Callithrix jacchus: one gene and its partner. The protein of the gene in region 1 interacts with the protein of each later gene in a pairwise test. Links are inferred from orthologs where the notes say so. Each region holds a gene or a part of one and is shown on either strand. Other genes may lie near its edges.

Region 1 (3,572 bases):
CATCACCAGTAGCTCCAGAAGCCAGTGATGACCACACAAGGCTGAAACCATGGTAAAAGAACTGTCCTAAACCTAATTTGTAAATGTAGCCTTTCAAAGGGGGAGGTTGGCTCCGGGGATTCAGTGACCCCCTAACAGCCTCCCAATGTCTCATTTCCACAGTACCATAATCTTACAGAAAAGAGGCAAACTGTTTAAAACTGTACCTGTACAGAGATGCCACCACACTGAGTGGGGAATCTATTTATAATTTATATATATATATATATATGCATATTTATATATTTTTTAAAAGTCTTCCAGAAAGAACAATTGAAAGCTATTGGGAGAAGAAAAACAAAAAGACAATGTAAAACTTTCCCAGCTATCACTCAACTAGGAGTCTCTGTTACTGGGGTTTAAAACTCTGAGTTGAAAGCGCCAATATAAATCCTTTGAAATAATATACCTGACCAATGTACATACACACATCAAGATGGCACGCTGACTGTCAAGAGAGCCCTTCCCACTGGCGCACATTCCTGAGTTCACGAAGGTGCTGTGGAGAAATGACAGAGCAGAAGTGCTGGCTAACAAATGTGAGGCAAGCCATCCAGAATTCACCACAGCCTGGGTGGAGCTGGGCCCTCACAGCCTGGCCTTGCTCAGAAGTTTTGCTGCCGCCTCTTCTTAGCCTCAATGGCATCCAGGATGGGCTGCCGCTTGGACTGGTACTTCTGCCGGATCTCTTCAATCTCCTGCTCCATCATGGGGTCCAGGGCCAAGAGCCTCTTCTGAAGGTCCTCCACTGTCCAACTCTTAAGCTAGAAGAGAAGTGGAAAGTATAGTCACGATAAAGCTTAGGCCGGTGGCAGAACAGTGGCGAAGCTGACTTCCCAGGCACCCAAAAGGAAGGGAGACAGGAGGTCACTGTTGGGAGGTGGTGGTTGAACAGTGACAATTTATTCCAAAGAATGACATACCTTGAAGCTTGTCTGAGATAATCTGTCCCTGGAAGAGTTCTAAGTGCTAACCTCTTTGATTTAATGTACCTTGACCAGGAACTTAGTGAATAATACTCTTACCTCCGCTAGCTTTTAAATAAATATAGATTCATTTTTAGGGCATTAAAATAACAGTAACTTGCTATACGTGAAATAATGGTTGCCTCCTGGTTCTTGTTCTGTCCACAAGATGAGCATCTGGATAGCACCCTTCACACTTTCAGGATACAATACCACGGAGGATGGACGCTGACGAGATGCAGATGCCAGCCCCTAACCCTGCCTTCCCATACCCCCAATGTCTTGGCACTGCCACATTATCATCACCAGCATTCATGTGAGGCTACTATATAGCAGGTAGCACTCTAAGCCCCTTGGGAATATAGACTCAACCCTTGGCAGAGGTTGGGAGTAAGGGTGGGTAGTTGGACAAACCTGAAACTTCTGAAATTAACTTTCTATGAAGCAGAGAAAAAAAGGACTAGATACATAAATTAATAATAATGGCTGGCATTTAGTGATTTCTATGCACCAGACACTGAGTGCTTTACATACATGGATTCCTTTAATCTTTGCAGCAGCCGACGCTATGAGGACATTATTATCCTTATGTTACAGATGAGCAGCTAAGTAACCTGCCCAACGTCTCCCAAATAGTAAGTGGCAGAGTCAAGACTGACATCCAGGCAGTGTGGCTCCAGAGTCAATGCTCTTAACCACTGTTACAGAAGAGCAGACTAGCAAAGCCCAGAACTAACTCAACCTTTGTTTAAAATGTGGTTCTGCCTGTTGCAGATGCCATAAGACTCTGACAAGTTACAAATCTCTCCAGGCCTTCCCCATCTACCGAAGTGGGACAGCAGTGCCTCATCTTATTTAATTATAAGAATTAAATGAGATCATGGTTGTGAAGTTCTCAGCACAGTACCTAGTGCACTGTGTGTGTAAAGATGGCAGTGGGTGTTACAAGCCTTTCTTTTCATAAAGGCCCAGGGGTGCACCAGTGTTCAACCTGTGTCTGCAGCTGTGGGGTAAGGGGCTCTGCTGCCATGTGTGAAGTGTTCACTGATTACAAGCCAGGCCAGTCTTGGCTGTCAGGGGTGGGAATGAATGCTGACATTATCCGCAGTGGGTGGTGATACTTTATTCTGTGTGTTCACAACCAGTTTTAATAGGTACAGCGTTTCAAGAACTCAAAGGCTCACCCAAGTCTTACAAGAGGGCTGTTGTGTCCACATTTAGAAAATCATGACCCTCAGCCCCTTTCTGTGGCCTCAACAGGAAAGTAGTATAGAAGCTGGGTGAAGGAGCCTCTTTCTGTCTACCCTTCCTTGAGTGGGTGGGGTGTGAGCAAGTATGAAGTGCTACAGTGGCCTTCCTAGAAATTACCTGTCACCACAGGAATTTTCCTTGGCCTGCTCCAGGGAGGGTGTCTGAGAAGTGGGAAACCCTAATAGTACAAGACGAAAGGTTCTTTGTAACGTGAGGATGGAAAGACTTGAGAGTGTGGGTAAATACTGGAAAGCTGGGCTGAAAAAACATGCGTCTTTCCAGCCTGTGGTTTTATACTACCTTAGAGGCTGGTGTTCTTGGCCCAAGGACATCCCAAAGAGCGGTGCTTGCCTAGTCTTTGGCATTTTCTATTCCTTCTGCAAAGAGAGAATTCCCCAAGCCTAATACTGAATGTAACGGGTAGTTAAGAATGTAATCTTTGGGATCACAGGTCCTCAATCTGCACTGGCTATTTAACCTTAAACAGTAATTTCGCCTCTTGAGCCTCAGTTTCCTCCTTTGGAAAACAGACAATACTAGTTTGTTCCTCTATCCTTCATCTGTACTAAGTCTTAGATGAGATAATGGTGTGATAATCTTTGCTCAGAACTTCACATGGGATGTGTTGGAGAGACAGTAAATATTCCATTTATGGAATAATATTGCCTAGTCTTTGGCATTTGGTACCACTCCTGGTACCAATTTACTATATTACTCTGTTTTAATATACAAGCTCTCTTCTTTTGTCTGCTACCATGTGAGACGTGCCTTTCACCGTGCCTACATTATGGAATGTAAATATTCCATAAATGGAAGTTATCACTGTTGTTATTGTTGCTATTGTTATTCATATCATTGTTATTGTATATATGATTGGTAAGTCTCCAATCTTCCATAAAGAAGCTGTTTCTATAACCTCTAATTCAAGCTAGAATGAAACATGTGAAAAAGAAAATATTCTATTCTATTTTGTGCTAATGCCTAAGGACTGGGACATAATTCCTGTTAACTTATTATGTACAGTTTAACAAAGTATTTTTCACCCATCCACTTATAAATACTCATTGAGCACCTACTCAATGAGTCAGGTGCTGTTCGAGGCACATAGGCTACTTCAGTGAAAAAAACAAAACAAAATCACTGCCCTTGTGAAGCTTACATTTTAGTGAAGCAAGGAAAACAGCAATAAACAGCAAATTAGTAAATTATTTTTACATTAGAAGGTGCTCTGGAAAAAAAGAAAATAAAAAATAGCGTGAAGGAAGGGGAGCTGGGAATCAGGAAGGTAGACTTGCTTTTCATCCAGCCACTAGGATG
Region 2 (3,572 bases), on another chromosome or scaffold:
GCCAAGTACGGTAGCAGGTGCCTATAATCCCAGCTACTCAGGAGGCTGAGGCAGGAGAACTGCTTGAACCCTGGAGGCAGAGGTTGCAGTGAGCCGAGATTGCACCACTGCACTCTAGCCTGGGCAACAAAGCAATACTCTGTCTTAAAAAAAAAAAGAAAAGAAAAGAAAAAAATGACTGTTATTTTAATAGGAATTGTACAGAATATGTAGATTACTTTGGGCAATATTGTCATTTTAATGATGTTAATTCTTCTGATCCACAAGCATGGGATGTCTTTCCACTTGTTTTTGTGCTTTTCAATTTCTTTCATCAGTGATCTGAAATCTAAATTTTTTTAAATGACATACTTGAATTTGAAAACTTATAATTAACTTTTACTTTATTGGAAAGTTGTTTTAAAGTCTGTTTTTAAACTTTTAAAAATTATGTCAAATTGCTCCTAAGAAAGGATCAGTAGAGATTTAGTTCTTATAGTATTTCCTCGACTATATTTTGCAAATTCAATTTTGAAAACAAAAGTTTAACTTATTATTTATTCTTCATATTTACATACTTATAACTCAGGTAGAAAAGTATTACAAGCTTTCAGTGATGTCTGCAATATAGATGGGAAAGGTGAATGCAAAGAGTAACACATATTCTATAGCAACAGTAAACATGGCTATTTCTGTTGCCCCTCAGCTACCAAAAACTCTCTTAAGTCTCCAGATTTAAAACCTCTCGGTTCATTCACTCATTCAGCCATTTATTTTTGTAAGCATCTGTTAGGCAGTCATGTGGCTGTGCTAATCCTATTTGACTCTTCTTTCTCCTTTGTCCTTCAAACCCCATTAGTGGTCAAGTCCCATTAATTTGGGCATGACCCACTTTTTCCCCTTTCCAAATTTTTGAAGTACAGGTCAAGCCTTCATTAACCACTGAATATGCACCAAATGGAAGATTATACAGTCATTAAAACTACTCATAAAAAGTATACAACATGAAGAAAATGATTCAAGTAAAAAGCAAGAACAGAAAACTATACAAAATATTATATAATCACATCAATATAAAAAAAGAATTTGGCATGAAAAAAATGAAGCAAATAATATACTGAGATCTCTAGCAGATGGGTACTTTGCCTTTACTTTGCTGCAGATTTGCTGCCTTTACTTTGCTGCAGATTTCCTATAATAAGCAGTTATTATTCTAGAAGAAAATATAAACGAGCTTTATTTTTTAAAACTATTTTAGTTAGATAACAAATTATTCCTGAGGTTCAGAAGTGCATATCAGAAACAACCAAAATAAACACTCAAGCATGCAGTTGTCTTAATCCTTTAACCTAATTCTTTAAAAACGAAAAGGTGCTCACCCATGGCTCTTACTGCACTTCTACATGCCCAGAAAACCTCTGCTCTTAATGTTCCAGTGAGACTCTGATGTCAGCTTTCATAAATAAGTTGTTCTTACCAACTACTTCACGTTATTTAAAACTTCAGTGATTTGCTTTCTCCTAAACTCTAATTCTCATTTTTCCTTCAAAAACGTCCTAGATTTCCCTTTCCTATTACCACTGGTACCCACTGGTACCTGCAATCCTCTTTTCTCTAGGAATCTACCCTTAATTCTAGTACAAAAGTAATCTTTAAACACTGCTTTCATAGAATCACTTGTCTTTTTGAAATGTGCAATAACTTCCACTTGACTCAAATCTATAAGCCTATTGTTGAACCACAAATCTCCATTCCATGTTACATCTTATTTCTTCAAACCAGGCAGAGCTACACTGTTCGTTAGATTTAAACCAGGCCTACTCTGTTTTCATTGTGTTATTCCCAATTTTCCACATAAAATGTCCTTCTTCTGGCCCCTGTTCATCTAAAGGCCAAGCTTGAGGCCCAGTCCAAGTCCAACCTCTTCTATGAATCATCTCTTTAAGTATTTCAGTCTACACTAATATCTCTCTGACTCCCTGTTGCACTTACAGTTAGTATCACAAAGTATAACAATTGCTTTGTGACCATTGTGTATAAACTGGTTTTGTTTCCCCAAAGAAGGTACCAGACAAATAAGGTACCAGAAAGCAGAGACCAACAGGCCCAAGGAAAACGCTAGACACGTAAACAATTAATACTAAATGAATAAATTTTTCTACAGTCAAAATACTAATGCTCCAAAACATTTTTAAAGTCACCTTATTTGAACTTATGTGGGCCAAAAAGTAAATCTCTCTCATATTTTATTTTTATCCTGCCAAAATTTAAAGTCTATTACTTGGTAGAAAAAAATAATCAGACAAGAAAGTTTTATTTTCTTCTTGCTTCATTTTATCTAGTGAAACCAGGACTTTAGGAATAAAGTAGAACTGTACATTTCTCCAATCTCTTCTGCTTCTTTCAGAAGTATCTCCAAGTCAGAAGATATAAAAAGTACCTTACTTTCCTTAATTATATGGTAATATTTTTTGCCTGTTACAAAAAGAATAAAAAGACATGCTCAACACACAACCGTATGGCAGTAAGTCTTTCTGATCAACTCAGGAAAGAATTCCTGAACTACTAAATCAGTTTTGTTCAAAGAAAAACTGCAGTAATGTACTTGCTCACGGTATCACTGAGCATGCCCAATTCTTCCTATTCTTTCCTTTCCCAAGTTTAAGTCCAGTGGCTCTGAAGATGTACCCTTCCCATTATTCTACCAAATCTGAACATAAATTCAACCCAACTGGAGACATTAAATTCTCTAGGTTTACAAGAGTCACAGCATTAAGAGACTAGACAGCCTTGAGATAAGAACCAGGTTTATACAACACAAGTTAATTCATTCAGTATAGATTACCAACTATTTGCACACAGGCTTAAGCAAGACTAGCAAAGTAGAAAAGTATTTTGCTAGGAGTATTAGTTTGTGCCCCAAGAAAATCTAGAAAAGAACATCTTTTCACTTGACATGTCAATAAACTACTATAGTATTTATATGTTAAGCTACCTGAAGCATGCCTCCCCTGATTCTGAGGCATTCTTTGGAAGAGATCATGGTTGTATTCATAATATCTGAATTCTTCATGTGTACGATCTCCAAGTGGCCGCTTTCTCTGACCATCAAAAAAATTGTCTGAATAATAGTATCGGGAACCAGAGTCTCCATTTTCAACAGCAAAATTAACTTCCGTTACAAATGACTGAGAAGAGCCATACTCTCTAGGGACATCTGCTAGACTTCTGGCAAGATAAGAAGGTGCAGATAATCTGTTGCTTTCTCTTCTCATTATTTCATGAGGTGTTCTTTGAATTGGAGTTCTAAGGAAACTCTGGTTTCTTGAAACTACCCCATCTCCAGAAGCTGAAAAGGCATTAGGGCTTGAATCTGGAAGACAGATATCAGTTCGTCTGGGAATTGTTGGACCATGCCGGATGAATGAAGGCATAAGATCTATAATGAAACAAAGGATAAAATTAGCCTTTTAATAAGTAACAAAAGCAGTTTTCAAAAGTTGTTCATTTGTGTCTACAACCCCAAAATCAAAATGTCAGTAAACTTAAGAAAACACAATTTTGGGCCGGGCACGGTGGCTCACACCTGTAAC

The links. The genes of interacting proteins can lie anywhere in the genome.
Region 2: the proteins of STK4 (region 1) and SAV1 interact in binary tests that used the Homo sapiens proteins (3 or more experiments, as listed by UniProt). The link is inferred for Callithrix jacchus from reciprocal best matches to the Homo sapiens genes STK4 and SAV1.

The regions. Positions count from the first base shown.
Region 1 is NC_133506.1:40,426,129-40,429,700, reverse strand, and holds part of STK4 (serine/threonine-protein kinase 4), read right to left. Parts: intron 804-3,572; coding exon 645-803; 3' UTR 1-644. UniProt on the Homo sapiens protein: Stress-activated, pro-apoptotic kinase which, following caspase-cleavage, enters the nucleus and induces chromatin condensation followed by internucleosomal DNA fragmentation.
Region 2 is NC_133509.1:85,225,834-85,229,405, forward strand, and holds part of SAV1 (protein salvador homolog 1), read right to left. Parts: intron 3,419-3,572; coding exon 2,975-3,418; intron 1-2,974. UniProt on the Homo sapiens protein: Regulator of STK3/MST2 and STK4/MST1 in the Hippo signaling pathway which plays a pivotal role in organ size control and tumor suppression by restricting proliferation and promoting apoptosis.